3 linked regions of the Diceros bicornis minor genome follow. The protein of the gene in region 2 interacts with the protein of the main gene of each other region in a biochemical or structural test. Links are inferred from orthologs where the notes say so. Each region holds a gene or a part of one and is shown on either strand. Other genes may lie near its edges.

What was found. The genes of interacting proteins can lie anywhere in the genome.
Region 1: the proteins of SORT1 (region 2) and BDNF form a complex in vitro, tested with the Homo sapiens proteins (2 studies listed by BioGRID and IntAct, with this or other methods). The link is inferred for Diceros bicornis minor from reciprocal best matches to the Homo sapiens genes SORT1 and BDNF.
Region 3: the proteins of SORT1 (region 2) and SORCS1 form a complex in vitro, tested with the Homo sapiens proteins (2 studies listed by BioGRID and IntAct, with this or other methods). The link is inferred for Diceros bicornis minor from reciprocal best matches to the Homo sapiens genes SORT1 and SORCS1.

What each region holds. Positions count from the first base shown.
Region 1 is NC_080746.1:83,690,688-83,697,697, forward strand, and holds the start of BDNF (brain-derived neurotrophic factor), read right to left. Parts: upstream 3,052-7,010; 5' UTR 2,447-3,051; intron 1,499-2,446; exon of another isoform or gene 1,355-1,498; intron 1,123-1,354; exon of another isoform or gene 991-1,122; intron 212-990; exon of another isoform or gene 1-211. UniProt on the Homo sapiens protein: Important signaling molecule that activates signaling cascades downstream of NTRK2. During development, promotes the survival and differentiation of selected neuronal populations of the peripheral and central nervous systems.
Region 2 is NC_080743.1:42,464,531-42,472,471, forward strand, and holds the start of SORT1 (sortilin), read right to left. Parts: upstream 3,017-7,941; 5' UTR 2,984-3,016; coding exon 2,678-2,983; intron 1-2,677. Other genes in the region: PSMA5 (proteasome subunit alpha type-5), read right to left, coding at 7,206-7,283.
Region 3 is NC_080745.1:71,535,042-71,542,843, forward strand, and holds the start of SORCS1 (VPS10 domain-containing receptor SorCS1), read right to left. Parts: upstream 3,052-7,802; 5' UTR 2,812-3,051; coding exon 2,254-2,811; intron 1-2,253.

The DNA of each region.
Region 1 (7,010 bases), on a different chromosome or scaffold from region 2:
AAAAGATAACTGTACTAGGAGAATTAATAAACATTCAGAAATATGCTTTTCTTTGCTTCTGGCCAAGAACATTCCTGCATTCTCGTCGGAAAATCTTCACTGGTTCCTGCTGACATCGAGGAGCCGATGTAAGATACCTGCAGGACCCTAAAATAAGACCCAGGAAGCCCTAACACGCCACCCACCGCAGCCTGTCACAGCTCCCCCAGCGCGAGGAGTCAAAATTCACCCAAGTCGGGAGTCACAAGCGGCGTTCAACAAGTCCCTCCCACCAGCTCCCGGAGGGATCCCGCGAAGCCATCCCCACCGCGTCCCCGCCCCCAGCAGCTGCTCTGGGCCGCGCGGCCGCCAGAGGGCACCCTCTACCTTCCTAGCGCCGCTCTCCCCGCCCCCTCTCCTCGGTCCACCCCCCAGCCCGGTCCACCCCAACACACAAACACAGCATCCTCCGACCGCGAGTCCAGTTCACCCCAGCAGCCCCGAGGCTTTCCCCCCTGGGGGTGCCCCCAGTCTGCAATTGCCCTTCTCTGCCCGTCGGGCATCAAGCCCCCAATCCTCAGCTATTCCTGGCACAGCTCACTCACCCATTCCTTCTTCCAGCTCTGCATCCCCAGAGACCAACCCGGGTCAGGACACCCCACACACACACCCCCCCCAGGCCCCGAAAGTCAAAACTCTCACTGCCCCAGAAGCTGCCCCAAGGGAGGGGTGCGGGATGGAGACAGGCGCGGGCACAGCCAGCCGCGGAGTACCGTAGCCCCTCTCCGCTCCGAGCGCCAAGAGGGTCCCAAGTTTTCCGGGATACATTGGCGCGGGACCTGTATCAGTCGGCTTTGGTCTCAGCTTCTGGGGAGCAGGTGACCGTGAGCAGCACGGCTTGAATCCTGGGGACGGGGATGCGGGCTGAGGACGCAAGGGCCCCCCCCAAAATTTGCGCGGGGATCGCCCAGCCCAGGGGAAGAATTCACATCCCAGCCTCGACACCCTCACCTGAGTCAGGGCCCCCGACGGCTGGCGCCCTAAATCTCTCTCACGACCCCTCCTCGCCTGGGGGAGGGTTGCGGGGGCCCCCGTAGCGCCGTCTTCGCTCCCTTCGCGCCGCTCCGCGTCTCCTCTTGGCTTACTCCCCCCCTACTCCAGGCCCTGTCGGATCCCTCTCCTCGGGGTTCTGGCTGCCCCACAGGCCCGTGGGGTGGGAGGAGAAAGCCCCCCGGGAACGACTCCAAATGCCCCTTCTCCTGGAGGAGAGGAAGGAAGGAGTTCTGTCTCTTCCCCCAACTTCGGGGCCCCGCAGCCAACTTTCCCCGAGGACGGGCGGCTCCCGCGCCCAGCCCCACGCCCGCGGCTCGCCTACCTCGGGGTCCACACAAAGCTCACGGGTCCCCGGCGGCGGAGTCACATCGTTGTCCCGCCCGCGGCCCCTGCGCGCAGCCCCGGGCCCCGTCGCGGAGCCGCTCGCCGCCGGCTCCCCAGCAGCGGTGGCGGCTGCAGCTCGGGTGTCTCATCAAAGCCTCACGAGGCGGAGGGGGCGCGCGGGCCGGCTCCTCGGCCCCGCCCGGGAGCCCGCGGCGCGTCGGGGAGCGCGGGACGGCGAGTGGCCGGCTGTGCCCGGGCGCGGCGGCGGCGGGCACCGGAGCTCCAGCCTGCGCCTCGGCCCGGGTCAGACATTATTTAGCTCTTCGGTTGCGCCTGGATTGGTCAGACGGCGCCGCCCCCCGCCCCCGGCCCCCGCCCCCGGCTCGCCCGCGCCACCGACAGCCATGCGGGGCGGCCGCTTAAAGGGAACGCCGCGCCTTTTCCTCCTCGGGCTCAGCCCCCGGGACTCCTGGGGCTCGCCGGGCCCGCGCGCCCCGCGCGCCCCACGCCGCCGGTCCCCAGGGCCCCGCGACGTACCTCCGCAAGCCCCGCGCCCGCCGCCTCGAGGGGTGCGCCAGCCCCGCCCCGGGGAACCCCGCGTCCCGCGCCCTCCGCGGAAACCCCGGCCCCGCGCGCTGGCGCCGGAGGGAGCGAGCGCGAGTCCGGCGCCCGGGGTTCAGCTCCCCTCCCTTGCACGCCCTCGCCCCATCCCGGCACCCAAGTTGTGTGGGAGAGGGCATGCGTTTCCCGGGCCACAGACACACCTTCCCGCACCTTCCCGCACCACGGAGCTTGCAGACGCGAGCACACAATGAAATGGCACAGAGCATGGGGGCTATTGGTTTACTCCGCCGTCTTAAACACGCCGGCTTAACCCGAGTTCGTGCACTGACCTCTCCTGAGTTGCCTAATAGGAATTCAATCAAGATAATAACGGCATTTTTTATTAATGAACGCCCCCAGATAACGTTACACCAAGTTACTTGCTCCAGCCGGAAAACCGAAGCAATGACAGACCTCCCTAAAGCCACACGCTTCCCAGCAGACCCAAGAGAGAAAATGGGAAGAGAAAGAAAGAAAAGAAACCCACCTTTTCAGTCACTACTTGTCAAAGTAAACATCAAGGCAGCTGCTCTGGGGAAGACTCCGGCCCCGAAACTCCCAGACTCTATTATTTTTTCACGTTCCCTTTGGTTAAAAAGAGGGGGGGGGGGGCGAGTCTTTGGTGCCCGGTAGGTACTCCTTCTGTTCTGCAGCAAAGAAGTTAAATTATTGATAGTGGAAATTGCATGGCGGAGGGGACACGCGCACCCCCCGAGCGAGGAGCTCCATTTGATCTGGGCAGCGGCGGGGAGGGCTCATGCTCGCGCGCCGGGAGCGGCCGCCGAGCCGCCCTCTCCGCGCTGAATGGGAAAGTGGGTGGGAGTCCACGAGAGGGCTCCACGGTGCCTTGACGTGCGCTGTCATATGATACCTCCGCTGCCTCGAAATAGACACTCCAGTGCACGAATTACCAGAATCAAAATTCAGCGCATTTAAAATGATACATCTTTTATTAGAAGAGTTCTGTTCCGGGCCACTGCATGGGTTTGCAGATGTTTTCGCTTCCCTCCCTAGGAAACTTACACACATAAACCGACCTTTTTAATAATGAACCTGGATAGCAAAGATAAATTTAAAAACCTCCTGGTTTAACGTGTGTGTGCGCGCGCGCGCGCGTGTGTGTGTGGAGTTGGCTCAGTTAATCCTCCTCCCGCCCCCACCCCCGCCCCCAAGCAGGAAAGCTAGCAGTCTTTCGGGTTCTTATTTGCCGGCAGTCAAGACCCTTGGCGAGAACTTAAGTGGCTAGGGCCCAGAGGACCATTTTCAATTTACCATTGGACGAACGCTGTCAACCGTCTACTTAGGTTCCTGCTTTAGAGCTGAATTTTCTTCCCATTAGTTCAACCGATTCGTACGCACTAGGACAGACCTAAAAATTTAGAATAAGGAACAAGACAACAGTACTTAACTTGGAGTCCTTGGACCTCCTCCGAGCCTAAAAATCACCAGGGTGCCTGTTAAGATGCAGATTTCTCCTCCTGAAATTGTGATTTAGCAGGGGTGGGGCCGGGTCCAGCAATTAGCATTTTAAGAAGCACCTGAAGCAATTCGGATGCCGAAAATCTGAAGTCACACTTTGAGAAACACTCTTTCTTAGGGATGCATAAACGGGGGTCAGAGGAATCTCCCATCCTCCCAAAATTTGGTAGGCAGTTTTACGTGTATGTACATTTTTCTGTAATCTCAAAGGGGTTTGACCTAATAATTGCTAAGACGCATTGCTGTAAGAATTTCTCTAAACACTCCAACATTAATTTGGAGAAAGGGAAAGATTTATAAACAGTTTCCTTTCCTGGACCCTCTTGTGGTTGTCAAGAATGTGCAGTTGGACTGAATATATAATATTATTATATACTCAGTTCCGTTTACCTAAAGGTTTACAGTTAACAAAATTAGTTCACTTACATTAGCTGTTTTAGAGTTTCTAAAGACTAGTGACAGAAATTATTATTCTTATTTTATAAAGGAAGAACCCGAGGCTCAGTGCCACGAAATAATTTGCCCAAGTTCACACAGCTAAATGCCAGAGACAAGACTTCAATGAACTCAGGACATCCAGCTAGAACTATCCCTGCCTCCCCCACCCCCAATAAACGGAGCTATCTGAAGTGTCACCAGGATGTGTGATCTTTCAGAGCTTTGCAAATTGTTGGACTGAAGAGTCAAATTATTCAAATATATGCATATTCTTAGAGTGTCACACATTTAGCTTTGCACCTCTATCAACTTGACAGAACACGTGACCAATACAAACTACCCTACAGCACAGATGGCGGAGTTTATTGTGGAATATTTCATGTATGTGAAATATGCAGGCTAACCAGAAGCCACCAAAGGACAGAGGACATGAAGTTGGGCTTGGCCACCTCAAGGAAGCCCTGTATTGATTCCCAGGGGTGTAGGCTGAATGCAGACACAATTTCTTTTAATATTGCAAAATAATTTAAGAGGCTAGTTTTATAAGTGAAAAAATCAAATACTTGTACCACTTTATAAAGTACGGGAGGACCTCTAACCTAAACTTTTTTTTATTACCTTATGCTAACTTCAAACTGATCCTTACTTTCCGACTGTAAATTTGTTTGAAAATGAGCTATTTCCCCAGGTTTTAAGCTCAATTGTAATGTACTTCGTTCCTGAGAAATACCTAGCAAGTGAACATCAAGAATCTTAGTATTCTCAATGCTGCTTGGTGGTTAGAAGTTACAGCAAATCTACCTGCTAAGTGCACATTGCCACGTCAGCATTTCTGCGGAAGGGGAAAGCATTCTCATTTCCCAGACTCTGACTGTGTCTGCGGCCAATCTTCTAATTCCTACTCTCCCTTGACATTATACAAATAAATGTTTGTATCTTTACTTTCCAGTATGTGGTGCAGTTTTACTGAGGAAAAGACAGAGGAGTCGGAAATGGTAGGAATATTTAGAAATAAAAGAAGACCAAATGTCAGTGCAGATAAGCCCTCTGATCATCAGACCTCTTGACACTTCTGAGCATCTCCAAACTTTCTGATTTGTGATCATAGTGTTACCAAAACGATAAAAGACCAGACTTAAACACTTGTCTATTTGCCTTCAAAGTACCTCTTACATTCAAAAACAATGAGGCCAAGATAAGCTAAAGTCATACCAGCGCTTGCACGGAATTCTGAATAATTTTTTAATTTAATTCAGGTAGCATATGCAAGGTCTCAGATCAAAGTTTTTACAAAATCATTTTCCTATTATTTCTCAGGGTGATGCTGAGAATACAAAGCATGCATTTCTGATTCTTCTTAAAGACTGGTCTCTGACGTGATTGATATGTTAGAAGCAAAGATTCCAAGTTTATGATCGGAACATTTTCTAACCACCCAAAGGAGGAAAAATTTCGCTGCTTGAAAAGAAAATCCTCCCTATTTCACTTCTGTGGGGCTTAAAAATTAATTATGAATTAGTCAAAATCTTTCTTTATTTTTGGTTGTGATCTAATACTATCCTAACCCAATGTCCTAGAAGGACAAAGGTTAGGAAGGAATGTGAATTCCCATCTATTCTTGTCAGGAAATGTAAACTAATCCTCATTACTCAAGTGGAAACAGAGGCAGCAGGCTCAGATTTGACATTGACATATTTTTTTCTATTAATAATTTTAATTGGCTGAAGTAAATTCTACTATCACTATAAGCATTTTGTTTAATTATGTTTATTAAGTTTCCTAGTTACTCCTGCTTTCAGTCTGCCTTGCAAAAAAAAAAAGTCTAGAATTCAATGAATTGACCTCAAAAACTGCTGAAAATTGGAGTAAGTAATTAGCATAGGGAAATAATAAGTAGACAGAAAACTATCCTGCTGAGCAGAGTGGCAAAGGTGTTTTCAAATTCATGCTGCATGATTTCAAAGGCCCGGTCCAGCCTCCAACTATGTCACTCACAATCCTCCAAATTCTTAAGTAAGGCCTGTCCTGAGAAAAATCTTAAGGGAGACATAATATCCCTATTCATTAGACGGTACCTTAAAATGAGGTGTACTTCTCTGTAAGCTTTTCATGAACCATGAGAAGAGCTCCATGCCATGTTCAAATGTGTCCAAATCGGTCAACACTTGTTTCAGGAATTATGTAACCAGCCAAGGCCATTAGTGGCAAACAAAAGAAAGAAACTACAGCAAGAAAATGTTAGAAGGGCCAAGATTAGGAGAGTAGAACAAGAAGGTCAAACACTGATCCCATCTGGGAATAATATTTAGTTGGATCAAGAAAAACAGCACAAAAACCATCATGAAACAACTGAGACTAACCCCCAAACATATGAGAGTCATCAACTTGTAACCCTCCAAGTTACCAGATTTTCCCTGAGAACATTTAGAAAGTAATCGTGAAGGATAAATTGGTTTACTCGTGATGTTTCTATAAGCATGGTCAAAAGGGATGTGATTGTGGACACGAGTTAGAGCTGACGAGGACAGCTGACTGTGGTATCTCTTGGTTTTACTGGGAGAAGAGCCACGAGAAGAATCAGCAAGTTTAAACCAAAGGATTTCAGGACATTAAATCAGATTGTAAGGAGCAAATTACCTTATTTTCGAGACCCAACTATTTAGGCTATGTGATGATTGGGGTGAGAGATTTTCTACTGCTAAATTTTATATTCGTCATGGAGAAAGTTAGAAACATATGCAAAAAGATAATTTAGAAAAAAATAATTACCGAACTTCCTAAAGTTGTATTTTAAAAATCACACTAAGAATTTGGCCTATTTTTATGTGATTCTGAATTTACACAGTGCCTATCTCGAATGGTCTTTTTTTTTTTTTTTTTTTTTTTTTTTTTTTGTGAGGAGATCAGCCCTGTGCTAACATCCGCCAATCCTCCTCTTTTTTTGCTGAGGAAGACGGCCCTGGGCTAACATCTGTGCCCATCTTCCTCCACTTTATATGGGACGCCGCCACAGCATGGCTTGCCAAGCAGTGCGTCGGTGCGCGCCCGGGATCCGAACCAGCGAACCCCGGGCCGCCGCAGCCGAGCGCGCCCACTTAACCGCTTGCGCCACCAGGCCGGCCCCTCGAACGGTC
Region 2 (7,941 bases):
AAGGGGTACTTACAGGAGGAATGTTTTGAAGCAATCCAACTTAACAACCAACACTAATAAAATCTCCTAGTCTTGTTCAATTTCTCTCATGTACAAAGGTTATACATGTCATGAACACTCCAAGCACATAAAGGAAAGAATCAGTTAAAAGTACAGCATGAAAATAGCTGTGGGTTAGAGGCAAAAGGAAGGTTATTTATTGAGTCTAAGACAGGAACATTTATAAATACACACACACACACGTTGGATTTCATGAGTGAAGCAGCCTTAGTTATTATAGGTCATTAGGGCACAGGTCTCCCGAAGCTGGAAGAATATAAAAGCACTATCATGTTTTCACTCTACTTCCTTTCTTAAGATTAATTAAATGCCAATATATTCTCACCAGCCAAATAAGCCATAGAAATAGGTCTAGGAGATTTGCTAAAGGCTTCTGAGGCTGTTCATCTGCTTTTCTTTGTATCTCAGTACCCCCAGCATCTAGCACAGATCTGGACATTTGGAGGGTATTCACATACATTGGCTATATGAATTAATGGGGTTTGACATGAACAGCAAGTTATATAACAAATAAGAGGAGAACCAAGAACTGTTGATTTTTCTCGGGAACTGAATCCTGTCATCTTACGAAAAACTATTCTAAATGGCACTTCCCCAGCTGTACAAAAGTATACAATATCTCTGATAAAAAGTTGTTCTGTCATGGTGATACTTTTATTTCATACTGTTTATAAAGGGTCCAAAAATACTAGATCTCTTCAATACAGTTCAGGATGATTTACCGTGACTTCTAAAACTAGAGAACTGAAAAGCAGAACAGACTATCACATGACAATTCTTGGTTAAGGAGGTAGACCTCAACCGCGTTACTCACCCATTCCTAAGGTGAAGATTGTTGACAACGGCTCCACTTTTACCATATGTACATGTTACAAAAAGGATGGGATCTCGGAAGAAGGGACCAGGGATGATTAACAAACGCAAAAATGGCTATTCAAAATTAGGTCACTGAAAGAAGACTGAAAAAGAAATAAGCTAAAAAACTCATTGGAAACAGTAGCTAAATAAAATGAAAAAAATAGAGGGAACTTTCTTTACATACAGATTTCAAAGGAGTGGTTTTCAAAGGAGTGGTTTCAGATCTGCTTTTGAGTAGATTTGGCCTAAGGGCCCCCTGAGTCAGCTTTTTCACCCTCTTGCTTTAGAAATCAATATATTACAAATGATATATCAATTCAAACTAACCCGGGAAGACTCTGACTAAAGGAATAAATCCAGAAGTAGCCACAGGTCCTAAAGGTAGGTCAACCAGCAAGAGGAGATTCTGAAATATGGAGTAAGAATGCTGTGTCCAGCTGGCTCAAGGAAGGCAGTGGTCCTGTTATAAATTAAGCATCAGTGTTGTAAAGCCTTTCTCAACTCCCCACTGCGAGATGGAAGTCTACACGATTATTTTTCTCGTCGTCAAACAGGAAGACTTCCCAGTACTCATTCCACCCTATCTGCACCCAGCCTGTCCCACCCGTCAGCACTAGCTTGGCCACCTTTATGTGGCTGCTGCTTGGACTGCATTAAGTGAGGTTATCCCTGACTGCTTGTGCCTTGACTCCAACTGCCCTGGCTCCCCAGATCTGAGAACTCTGCACAAATAACAAGGATAGTCCAGGCAGAGGGAAAAAGACAGTTCAAGGGGAGACTGAAGTTTGGCTGATATGGAATGTATGAGGACAAATGCAGTTAGTCACTTATCTCTGTCCCCATGTACAACTCTCTTTGAAAAAAGGAATGGATATAACGGAGAAGATATATTAAATTGAAAATATATTACGCAAACGTGGGTAGCAACAATTACATCATTCGTTTTAGAAAAACGTGAGGAAGGAAGATGCCCAAGTTGCACTGGAGCAAGGAGCCAGGACACTCCTAACAACTGGCTTTGTCAATCCACTAGTGTGCGAAGGTTGAACCGCTTGTAGGCAGGGAAAGAACTGCCACAATTTTTAAAGTTTTCGACTAGGACCTAGCTCAGAGCAGAATACCTGCAATGTGTTACCTAACTGTTAGAAACCTGGTCACAACAGGATATAAACATCCTGGTCAGAGTCCGATGCCAGGATAGAAGGTCAAACTGAAGGCGAAAGAGAGATCACGTATATACTGTCACCCCTTTTCCAAGCTTGTTCCTTTAACTATTAAAATACACGCAGTAACCTAACAACTGCTTTGGGATTTCTGAGCACCCGCCTACCCGTCCTGGAAGTACTGACCCAGAGAGGACACACCTTTGCTTCTGCGCAGCCCAACTTCTCCAAGCACTTGAGATAATTATTCCTATAGCTTCGTGGTGGCTTAGAGCGTTACTGGACCCTGACTATTTATACACACAGAAAACAACGACGCTCAAGAGATTTTGACAACTTACAAAAACGAATGCCATGAAAGTCTAAGACTGCCTCCCCTGTGACGAAACACAGCCGCTCGGGCCGCGGCGGCCTGGGGGCCGCTCCCCGGGCCCGACTCCGCCCGCCCGCCGCAGTTTCGGGGCCCCAGCGGGGCCGGGGGCTCCTCCGCGGAGCCGCGAGGCGCGCGGACAGAGACAGAGGGACCAGCAGCGCGCGCGGGGCCCGGGGGCCGCACCTCGCAGTCCGGGCGGCGCCCGGGCCCGGCGCCCGCTCACCTGGTGCGTGTTGTTGGCCAGCCTGGTGACGAAGTCCCGGACGCGGCCGCAGTCCTCGTCCTCGTCGAGCGCGCTGCGGCGCCAACGGCCGCCGCGGGGAAACGGGCCCCCGGGCGCGGCCGCGCGCAGCCCCCAGCTCACCCCGACGGGGCCGGACCAGCGCGACAGCGGCGCAGCTGGCGGTGGCGGCGCGTCCAGCCGGTCCTGGCCGAGGGTCGCCGGCGGCAGCAGCTGGAGGAGGAAGAGAAGGCCGAGGCCGTGGGGCCAGCGCGAGAGGCCGTCCGCAGCTCCCCGGGGCCGCTCCATCGCCGCCGAATGCCGATGCCGCCGACACCTGCCGCCCAGCGCGCCCGCCCACCCCCGCCGGCGCCGCGCCACACCCCCGAGCCCGAGCCGGGTGCTCCTTGGATACGCGCAGCCGGGCCTCTCCGCCTCCATAGGCTGGCCGCCTGTCCTTCTTCCCTGGTCCACTCCTCATTGGCTCGCGTCGCCTCCGGCTTCGGGGGTCCTGGATTCGGATGCCAAGATGCGGGACTGATTGGCTGGAACGTGGCAGAGACGGCTGAGGTCATCCCCTCCTCGCCTGGCGTCTCCACGGCCGGGCTTCCAGAGTTAGTGTTGGAGCTTTCTCCCTCTTCCAGTGAAGACCCCCGCTCCGTGGCGCCCTGACCCCTCGTTGCTCCCTCTGGCATCCTCAAGTTGGGGCTGGATTAGTCCCCTTCTCTCCCCACAGAGACACCTCTAAAATTTTGGGGGTTGCGGCAGCGCCTGGAAATCTCAGGGAATCCCTGAGCTTGCTCAGCTGGAAAAGGGGGCTTCGTCATGAACCGGAGCTTCAGGTTTTTAGCCCCCGCGCACTGGAGCGCCCATTGTCTACTGAAGCAGCTGTCTTGCTGCCAAAAAGGTGAATGCGAATTGTGTGGGCTAAATCCTACGGAGGCAGATAGACATCAGGACGTCCGTGACTCATGCAAGCTTGAAGAAAAGTCTCTCCACCACGGACGGCCTCACTCATCTTCTCCTTCTGCAGGGAGTCAGGCCAAAGTTGGAATTGCTTATTGGTTTTCCTGGAGTTAGAAAGTAGCTTAAATAGGAGAGTCAGGTAAAAGGGGGCAAGAGAATTGCCCAATGCCTAGTTTAGACACGATCGTTTTATGGATGCATATTTATCTTTACCAAAGTACCGAAACCCTGCAGTGAGTGCACTGCACATTTTGGTTTCCAGTATATGGTGTCCCCTAAATTAGCACTACGGCTCCAATAAATAAAACAAAACCCCTACGCTGTGCTGTTCCCTTTATCGCAGAAGCTGCCCACATAACTTCTAGAACATGCAGCACAGGTAAAACCAGTTCTGGATCTTAACCTTATTGATTCTATGCCTTCAGAACGACAGAAGTTGTTCAGTAGAAAAGGTAGCAAATAGAAGACACAAAGAATACAAAACGTTACATCTAAATAAGGAAAGCAGCTAAAAATTACTCAACTCTAAACTGGAGGTAAACCTAAATGAGAATATATTCATTGTACAGCAAAATGGTGCAGTGCACCCAACCTAATGTTTACATTAAAATCCTTCTAGTTATGTTAATTTGCAAACAAAAAGATTTACAAATTTGTTTTTCCAGAATAACCATAGTAAGACGTGAGAAGTGAAAAATATGTTTGAATGGCATCTGAGCAGGATGGTAAAATCATTAGAATAGTCTTCCAAGTTCTTAGCTACTGAAATGACAAGATAAAGCTAGATGAAAAGTGGTGGACAATTTGTTCCTTTCCATTAACTACCATGTGTCAGATTACTTTTTAAAATACAAATTATTTTTTAATCTATGCCAGCTGTGGGGTAGATCACAAGACAGTCAGTTCCAGTAACATGTGATTAGCTGGGGGGAAAAAAGGGGCTATACAGGAATATTTCTTTGTTCGGGTGACACAAAGATGAATGGTCTATTGTCTTAAGGTCTGAAAAGAAAATTGCCAACTCACCAGTGCCATCTCATGGAGAAATTCCTAACAACACCTTTTAACTCAATATTAAATTGTTGCAATTATCTGTACCTTTACTTTGTATACATTGCTTTTAGTTATCATTATATGCTTACAGAATATATATTTCCTTCCTCAAACTATATCAGCTGCTAAGTATTTGGTACCATGGTACTTTGCACAGAGAAAATGTTTTGAGTGAATAAAGTGTTTTAGTAGTTCACTTTCATCTAATAACACAGGCACTAAATACAAAAGTTGCACTGTCAGTGCACATACTGACACACAACATCCTACCTTACTGGCAGGACTAAAATACGTAAATTTGTATTACTAAAAACCACACTTTTCTCCAAGATAAATTCTATACCAGAAAGATGAGTAGAAAGCAGTTGCATATCACAAAACCATTGCTTTTCCTTGTAAGATCATTCCTGATTCTATTTAAATTGGACACAAGAAACCTTGTAGAAAGTCTTCAAATTCTACAGAAAACCAAAGTTCTATCTCTTGCAAGAATGCTATAATTCTGTTCTTTCAAGAATTCTAAAATTAGAATTATAGTGGGTATGAAATTTACTGTTTCACCAGCTGTAATCTAAGGTACAAACACACTGCCCAGGCAATGGGAGGGAAAATACTGTAAGCTGAAGCTAAGCTAGTTACACTAAGAACTATTCCTTTTTTTTCCCGCCTACATAACACACGAGTATTTTTCCCCCTATATAATACACATAAGACACACTCTCATCTCTGCCAAAAGCAGCATGTTTTGTCCATTTCTGCATTAATCTACACTGAGTTAAAGGGAATATTGTTTATTGTCTAGTTCTCCCCACTAGAAGTTCCATGGGAGCAGACCATACCTAGTATTTTTACAGCTCTATCCCCAATGCCTAATCCATTATTTGGCATATGATAGGTAGGTACTCAATAAATTTGTTAAATTTGAATAAATGGAAGTTGAGATAGGATTTGATAAAAGGTGAACATGAGAGAAACTAATCCCATGATCACATTATATTTAATAACAGGGTTAAAATCATTAGAAGAGTCTCCAGAACGTTGGTGACAATATACTCTAGTTCCCTACTTTTATGTGTATGTCTAGAGCAAAATTCTTTTCTTCCAAACGTTTCCTGTCATTGCAGTTTCCAAATATATATAAGCACAAGTTGTTTTTCGCTGGAAATACAGTATGAATTTAATATGAATTCAGTGTACTCAAATAATCAGAATTTATTGACATAGAGTACAACTTCCCACAAGTGTTAATAATATACCATCATGGGCCGGCCCCATGGCTTAGCGGTTAAGTGCACACGCTCCGCTGCTGGCGGCCCGGGTTCAGATCCCGGGCGCGCACCGACGCACCACTTCTCCGGCCATGCTGAGGCCGCGTCCCACATACAGCAACTAGAAGGATGTGCAGCTATGACATACAACTATCTACTGGGGCTTTGGGGGAAAATAAATAAAAATTTATTAAAAAAAAATATATATACCATCAATTCTGCATTATCCACATATGGATTAGCCATGTTGTAGATAGTGCAAATACATTCTCAATAACATGTCTCTGTTACTCAGTAGGTATCTAGGCTTCAAGGGACCTTGCATTGTAAAATCAAGAGTTGATTTGAAACTAGAAAATTTGAGTTCAAGTCCCAACAGCTTAATTTTCTGTGTCCACGGTCACACAGCCTTAGATTCTTCATCTGTTAAGTATGATAATGGTATCTATTTCATATGGCCATTTTTGAGGCTCCAATAGATTGATAATCTCAACCAGTTATATGATGGTAGCTCTAATGAGGGAAGTTTATAGTACATTCCAAAGTCTAATGTAAACCATTTCTGAATTACACCATTCTCTCTTTCTGATTTGTAATTGATCGTCAGCAAGACCAAGCTCATGAATTATTTTACAGTCCTTAACTTCATAAAAAAAGAAAATCTCTTTCCAAATAGACTCATAAGACACAAGAACTGGTACAACATTGTAGCTGGCTTACTCCAACCCACCAGTGTTTTGGGGAGGACCTCAAAATATGTTCTTTTAATGGTCAATTAGTAGCATCTCCTTTGTACAAGGAAAGCAGCAAAAATACCTATTTACTCAAGAGAAACTACAGGACTGAAATAGATTTACAATGTTATTAATACCTATAAACCACTGGGAGGAGCTGGGCTAGCTTGAGTTCATTTGCCAACACCAAGGGATTCATGATATAGTTGATTCTGCTGTAGAGAGCCACTAAAACAATTTTAGAATAGAAACTCTGACAGGCTAGGGATATTAATACCACTATCCTTTTTGCCCCCTAACAAAAGCATTTCGAACAAAAGACTGCATTAGGATAGTCTATTAACAAATATTTTAAATTTTTCTTTATTTCAGAACTGCCTTTATGTACAGACATCATAAAAAAATGCACATACACTGGAGAATTTCCAAGGAACAGGAGCTGGAAATAAAAGTTAAGGGCAATTAGGAGAAATGAAATTGTCCCAGAGAAGTTCTGAGTATCACACTTCCTTAAATGTCCTTGATAACCTCTTCAAGTTCTTCCTTTGTGAACATGTGGAAATTCTGGCCAGGTTGCACTGTGGCTAGCTGGAAAGAAAACAGAGAAGGGTTAATAAGCTGGACTGGATCACCCTGCTGAGAGCCCTAGCGTGGTCAGAGGTTGTGTTGGTGATGCAGCTGTTCATTAGGAACTAAGGGATCTGCTGTCCCAGGGATATCCTTTCTAGCAGCAGCTTCCTAAAATAGCTCTCTGACTCTAAAATAAAAATTCTTATTGACTAAATTTTCTATTTTGAGGTTAACCCACCACATAATAGTTAACCAAATGCCTGGTGTCACTCTCACTTCTTAAAGTTACTTCAACAAGGATCACAAAAGTAGCAGCAAATCACATGGGGTCAGTACTTTCTTCTGTTAAAGATTCCTTTAGAAATATACTAAAAGCATATTTACACACTTGCAAGTTGAGCTTGTGTGTGTGATCTCGGGTTACTTGGCCACTCTGTCCCTCAATTTCCATCAATAAAATGGGAATAATAATAGCACCTAAGTCATAGATTAATCGTGAGGATTAAATGTGTTAATATATGTAAGGTGCATAGAACAGTGCCTAGATTATTATAAAAACATCAAATAATCATTAACTATTAGGTAGTTTTTCCTCTAAAATTGTCCATACTGCAACTTAACAATAAAAAGGTTTGTTTTGTTTTTTAAAAGGACTGGCCATGAAAAGATTCCATTA
Region 3 (7,802 bases), on a different chromosome or scaffold from region 2:
CCCTTTAAAAACTATTTTAAACTTTGTCTCTCCTATGAATCTGGGCCAGCTTTGTTTTGGAGGACCTAGATAAAGACTATTGCTCTCCCTCTACCATCTGTACGTATACACTAAAAAAACAATTTATGTGTAGGCAGCAGGATGGGGGGTGGGGCGGCTGTCCTCACAGAAGAAGAGACTTCAGGGGGGAGAAATCTTATTAGTGACATGATTTGAGTGCTCAAACTTTTAACATGCACCACCTTGATTATTTCCTACATTATCTCAGATTTCCCTGCAAGTCGCCCATGCAAGCTCTGACCTTAGTAAGCCCAACTGGGTTTATAAGCACCATTCAAAAAAAAAAAAAAAAAGGCTGGCAGTGCTTGGCACCATATCTTAAATGAAGTTTAAAATTTGCCAAAAACATACTCTCCTGTTCTCACTCTTTCCAAGCTCTTTCAAGAGATGAACTAAAGTAGAGGTCTAATGGGTGAGTGATATTTTACAGCTTGAATTACATTAAAAGCCAGAAATATTTTGAGGCCAAAATCCTTTATTTCTTGATACAATAAGATCTAATATGTTTGATGTGTTTGCAATCTCCCCTTAAAGCCAGAAGCTTCGAGTTAAATCACTTAAAGCAGTGCAAAAGTTACTCAATCAGTTTAAGAAGATTCAAATTCAAATTGGGGGATTAATTTTAGTGGTTATGATATAAAAGATAGGATAGTTAAGTTAAGGCATGAGGACAAGGATCTCCAGAATTTGAACGGAAAGAATTTCGGCTTCAATTACTTGATTAAACCTCTCCTGAGAACCATATAAAACCACAGCCTCAGTCATGAAGGCTGAATTGTAGGCAAAATCCTGCTGGTGCTCTCAGGACGGAGACATAATACAAAATACTATTTATCACGATTGCCTTAATATAGTTGATATCTATGTACCTGAGAAATTCATAATGACAGACTATTATTTTAAAATGTTCATGACTTTCATTAAAAAGCTGACAACCAGCACAACTCACTAAAGTGGCACTTCCTCTGTGTCTAGGAAGGTTTCTGGCAATTACATCACAACTGAAAACATCTGAAAGGTACCAGGATGTATAGACTGTGCATATTACAAATACTACAATCTCAATAACCTGACAGAAGCTGAAACTTTGATTTTTTTTTCATTGTACCTATCCTTAGTTTTTATGTTTTTCTTGTCTGCCTAATGGCAGCCAGGAGAAGTTTCCACAGTTTTAAATAGTCTTCAGTTATCATCAAAGCTGGTTCTTTACTATTTCCGTTCATTGAAATTTCCAGGTGCAGTTTAAACTAGAATAGCTACCTAAGATTCCAGACATGCAGGCTTTGCCAAAAATCTAAAACCTTCCCTGATGTGGCCAAAGCTCATGGATTTGCACCCACTCTCCCCAGTGTCAGCCTCCTGGAATCCGGCAATCCCTCTCTTCCCCTCATAAAGAAAAAGCTAAGCCTTTATTTGTGCTCTTCACTAGAGGAGGTCAGGCAGTGGGGGAGAACAGGGAGTTGTTGTCACTGGGATATATCTGATCTTCCTGGGACTGATCACGCCAGAGAACAACCACTCATTCACAGGCTGGAAAGCCCCAGCTCTCAAAACACACTGGCTTGTGCTGTTAGAAGATGCTGGAGAGTTCCCGTCCTGAAACTTGCATCCACTTGGTCCCCAGAAACAGAGAATACATCAAGGGCACCTTATCAGCCACTGTCCATTGCATTTCTCTTCCCTTGTGGGTAAGAGGAGGTTGGCAGCTCTGCATAAAAAATAAAATTAAAAGCCTACAAACAAAGCCTTCTTGATCTTACCTGAGCTCATCCACAAGTCTAGCAAGTAAAGGGAAAGTCACTTGAGGGAATGTCAGCCAGCCTGGAAATTTAACCCTTTCACCTCCGCATTCAGAATACTTTGACCCCCACCCCTACCCCCCTACCCCTGCTTGCCTGGTCTTCAGATCCATACTACACCAATGTGACCAAAGAAACAGGAAATAGGGATTTACCTGACCCTTTAGAAGCGTTATTCGGGTTTGGAGAGGACTCTGGTTGTGTTGGGGGCTGGGGGTGTTTGGTCATCTAATAGGTAACATTAACTCCTGAGGGAGGTGAGCAGGGAAGACCTTAGTTTGCAGCGTCTTTCAAGTCCAGAAACCCCATTTCCCCAAATTCTCTATCAGATCACAGAGCCCACTTTAACCCTTTCCATCTCTCACCCCTTTGCCCTCAGTCCCATTCTACTCACGCTGCTGTTGTGGCCAGACCAGTGGACCATGGCTTGGTTGTGTGCTGAGTCGCCTGTCAGCGCGAACGTGGTGCTGGTCAGTCTCAGCTCCTCCATCCGGAAGCGAGTGGCTTTGTCCGGGTCCCGCTCCAGAGTCCCAGGCTCCTGCTGCCCTCCGTCCCTTAGCACTCCCCGGGGGTTTCTACTCGTGCCTTCTCCCCGTTCTGCCTTCTGCTGATCCGCTGCACTCCGTCTCCTCCGGCCAGAGCGGGGAGCAACCGCCACCGACGCCCCGGTGCCGGGGGCCCGCTCCAGGAACAGCGCTCGGTCTCCCGGGGCCACTGCGAACAGGGGGCGCCCAAGGAGGGGCAGGGGCGTGGCAGGAGCCCTGCCTCGCGGTCCCTGGTGAGGAAAGCCCCCTGGGGTCGGAGCCCAGCGCTGGGCCGAGCTGGGGTGCAGCGGGGGACAGCAAGAGCCGCCGCCGAAGGCGCCCGGGGCGCAGAGGACCAAGAGCCCTGCGCCGGCGAGAAGCGCGCTCAGCCGGGCTGGGGAGCCGCCGGCCGCGCCAACTTTTCCCATCGCAGGAGCAGAGAGGAGTGGAGAGAAGGTTCCGGACCGGAGGTGGAGGCGCGGTGCTCTCCGCTGGCCGGCTGTGGGGGACAGGCGCTCAGGACCCCAACTCCATCCAAGTTGGGCCGCGGCGGGGGCGGACGGAGGCGGCGCGGGGCAGGTGGCTGCCGCTTGTCCAGGCTGGGCTGGTGCCGAGCGCGGGTTCGGACCGAGCGAGCCGCCGCCACGCGGGGGTGGAGCTGAACTGAAGTCACGGGCGGAGCGGGCGCTGGCGCGCTGGCAGGCGACGCGGGAAGGAGGGCGGGCGCTGCCGGGGCTCCCGGCGCCGCGTCCCGCTCCCGAGCTGCGCTGCGCGCGGGTGGCTGCGGGGACCCGGGGCGCTGCCGACCCTCCCCTTGGGCTCGCCGCCGCTGTGGCCGCCCGCTCCTCGCAGCCGCCCGCTCTGCGCCCGCGGGGCCGCGGGTCTCCGCGGTGAGCCCGCGCGCCCCTCCGGTGGGGGCGGTCAGCCCGGAGCTCGCTGAGTGGTCACTGTGTTGGGGAATTCCTATTCCTGTTTTATTGTTTCTATCAGTCTCTGTTGCTGTTTCCTTTTCCCTTGGTCTTTTCCAGTTTAGGTTAGAAGGTAGGGATGGATGAGCTCCTGCTCTTTCCCTTCTTAGTCTCGGTGAGTTGCCGTCTCGACCTTACCTTGAGCAGAGCCTGAGTGTCGGGCCTGGGGGAGATCCCGGAAAGGCAACAGCAAAGAATGATGTAATTAAATGATCGTGTGTGTGTGTGTGTGTGTGTAGTTTGGGTTTTTTTTTCCATCAGTTATCAGCTTAGACTCCTTTCCTGACCTCCTAAAGCATCCACTGTATTTGAACCCAATCTTCTCGCATCTTCTCGCCGTATATCTTGGCTTCCCTAAGAGACTACAAACTCATTGAGGACAGGAAGACCAAATTGTGAGCAACCTCGAAGAAGCGAAGAGCTTATTTGATTTGCCATTTTATCCTCAGAGCTTGACACAGTGCCCTACCCGGTGGGAAATCTGTCAGTCGTTAATTCTATAAATATTTATTGTAAGTCTATCCTCTCTATATATGCAAATAAATACAGGAAAGGAGGCATCCTGCTGTATTTACTCTGTCAGTTGTGCCTAGCCCAGAGCTACTAACGCATGCCTTAAGGTTCTTATTAGCAAATCCCAAGTCTATGCTGGGTGCTCTGCTACTAGTTTGCTGTGGGACCTCAGACAAGCAGCAATCTCTAAGCTTCCTACAATTTAAAATTAAGTGGTTGTTTTAGTTGACCTTTAAAATCCCTTCCAATCCTAAAATTCTATAATTGTATGATTATAATGTCTGCCCAGCCCAGCTCCCCTGCTACTGTTCAAAAGTTCAGATGAAGATTTACAGTAGGTGAATGGGCTTTGAAAATTACAAAGAACTTCTCAAAATCCAAGCCTTTTTCAAATAGAAAGTTTGCTTCTAAGGGTTGAAATACCTTCAGATTTCTTTGTAGTCTTCACGTGCCTAATAATACTTCCTTATCACCTGGTAACTATTAAATTATTCAATGAATATTTACTGATTGAATAAATGAATGCCGCAACGTGATAGTACAATTTCCAGTTTCTAATTACATTTTTGTTCATTTTGACACTTGCAAAGGTAACCTCACTGAAAACTCTGAATGCTGAGTTTGTGATGGAACCAACTTGAAAGTAACAGAGTGATAATTACTCTTCAATTAATGATACCTCTTTTGATATTGTCCAAGAGGAATTTCTCTTAAAACAGTTAAACCCAGAGTTCTGTTACAAAACGTTAATTTAAGTTATTGTTCTTATGACCAATCCAAGTAATGTGCAAATGCAAGGAGAGCAGGCTTCTCAGCCATTAAACTGAATATTTAAAAGGACAAAAGAGCATCCTGTTTGTCATTAAAGGAGACTCAGTCTGTTCTCTCAAAAGCACCTTTACTACCCAAGCCTGAATCCTCTGGAGAAAGGAACACTATCTGGCAGACTGTGGTTTCTAGATGGAGGAGAGGAGAGCCGGAGGTCCTTCTTCCTCCCAGAATTACAAATGCTCTTTGTCAAAGCCCAGGGCACTGGTTCTCCTCTCCTCAGCAAGGTTTTCAGAGCTTTGTAGGATCATTTGCTTAATGCCTTCTTTCTATGCCCTGCTAACCTCCTTTCCAGTCTGGATAAGGGAGAATTCCTCCAAGAGAGGAAAACCAGATGAAAAAGTCAGAACCCATATACATTCCCATCCAAATATAGGACTGGAAAAGGCAAAATAGAAGAAGAAATTAGTGGATTCAAATTTTCTGGTCTTAGTCTATTATTGCCCTACCAAAATTTAGATTGTTTAGATTTCAAAATGAAGTTCTTCCTGAAGAATTGGTACAAGTAGAGCTGATTTTTCCTCCCCAAAGAGTTTATAACTCCCATCTTTTAAAACACACCTGTTACAAAGATCCCTTTAAATTGAATGCATTTGCAGGCCACTTGCTGAGAATTCAGAGAGGGCAGGCACTTTTTTAATGCCTGATTTTTGTTGTTCATTTGAGAAAAAGTTTACACAGATGACAATGAAATTGGCTCCAAGTATTCTTGTTGTTTTTATAAATTCATTTTATTTCTCGTAGGTCTGATCCCCATTGAAGTTTGGCAACAAGCAGAAAGGGAAAGTACCAGTAATTCCCTAAACCATCCTCCTTTTCCAGAAAAGTTCAAGAAATAAGCTAATCATGGAGGAAAGTGGGCTAGTCTATTTCAAGGTGTTTTCAATCCAACAACCCGCTAAGAAACCCAATAGGTTTTATAAATATAATGCATTAATAATGGGTCATTTATTAGGAAAACAGTTTATATCAAAGGCCGGTAGAGAGTTAGATCTGTAATCCAATAAGGAGTCTTTTCATTATGTATATGAAAAATTTACCACCACCTAGTCTAAGTTACCATCACTTCCCACCTGGACTAGCACAGCAGCCTCCTGACTGTGCTCCCTACTCTGCAATTGCTCTGCTCCATCCTTTCTCTAGAATAGTCATACCAAAGTGGGGTACGAGTACCCAAATGGTACCACAAGATGATTTATTTGTGTGCAGGAAGAAAATAATAGCCTCGTTAACATTTAATTACTGAAAAACATATATCTGTTCTATATACATATAAGAGAGAGAGACAGAAAAGAGAGAGAGCAAATATGAACATTTTGAAGCCACATGCTGGTTGGTGTGCATAATCAAAAAAGTTCAGATGCCTTGCCCTACAAAACAGCAAAGGTGGTCTTCCAGAAGTATAAAAAGTATCATTCCTTGCCACTGTTCAAAATCCTTCACTGACTTACCATTGCAAACAAAGAAAATCTGCACTCCTTACCATGACCAATCAGGTCTGCATGAGCTGGGTCCTGCCCCGTCCTCAATCACATTTGGCAGCACGCTCCCTCCTCACTCATATGTTCCAGCCATTCTGAGCAATCCTTTCCTCCGATGTGCCAAGTTGTTTTTCCAACTCATAGCCTTAGCATATGCTGTTCCACCTGCCTGGGATGCCCACGGCCATCCCCACCTCACATGGCTGACTCATCTTCTTTGAGACCTTCTCTTTAAATGTACTTCCTTAGAGAGACTTTCCCTGACTCCCTACCTAAGAAGAAATTCCTTTCATATTTTCTGTGCCAGCCCCATATTAGTTTTTTCTTAGCATATATTATAGCCTTCAGTTATTTTATCCGAATATTTTTTGTTGATATTCCTCAAAAACCATGTGCATAAGACCTGTCTCCCTTTGCCTCCTTCAGTGCCTGGCTCAATGTAAGTGCTCAATAAATAACGATTGGCTGGCTGCACAGTACTTGTGTAGCAGCATTACCTGCACAACTTCTAGTAGTTAACACTTTGTAAATCAGTTGTTACATGTGCCAGAAACCGTGTTAAGGATTTAACATGTACCAGCTCATTCATTTTTTTACAAAATTTATCTCAACTAAGTACTATCATTGTCCTCTCTTTACAGACCACGTTAAACAGCTACCCAGAGTCACACGGCAATTTAGTGCAAGAGGCGAGGCTTTAACCCACGCATCTTATTTCTAATATGTTCTTGACTTTATGCAATACTGTTTCTACTCCAAATCCAACTAATAACAGATAATATTCATTGACAATTTACTATGTGCCAGGCACTCTAATTAGCACTTTGAATCATTTTTAGTAATGTTGAGTAAGCAATTTTGGACAAGTGAGCAAGTTTGTCTGGGCTGAGGGGAATATCTGTATTCTCCAACTTATATTTGCTTGTATTGGTGAGGGCGGGGGGGTAATGTTAAAGAGAGTGGTGTATTCATTACTCACATAACCTCACTGCATGAAATACAGTAGCTGTCACATTGATTTTCTTCTTCCTTTTTTCCTAGCTCTCTCCATATCTGATGGATACCTTGGCTTCGGCTGCACTAAATCACATTATATGTCTCATCATTAGAACAATGTCTTTTAATAGCTCTCAAAATACTTGGCTCCCCTTGGATACCATTGAGACAAGGTGTCTTGCCTTTCAGATCAATTTCATGAAGCACCACAGAAAGAAAACTGGGGAGAATAATATGCAGACTCTTCTCATTGCCTGCCAAGAAGATGATGAGATTTTTTTAAAGCTGCCCTTTAAAATACTTTCAGATATCAGCAAATACTGGCCTAGGTATGAATCCAGTAATTGTGTCTCTTCTCATACGCCCAATCTAAGTGGCTTTAACAGAAGGGCTTAAGCCCTCTTATCTGTAAAAATAGGTCTAAGATTATCTACCTGACTCGTAAGGATGTTGTAAAAGTTAATTCAACCTCATATACCTGTTGGAGATAACAACACTGTGTTGTATTTATGTAATTTGGATCTCATCAACAGTTTTAGACCTCTAAACAGTTTTTGGGTTTTTTTCCCCTAGTTTAATAAATCTTGCAGCAGCTCCAAAAGATAGGTAGGGGGCAGTTTTTGCCTGCATCTT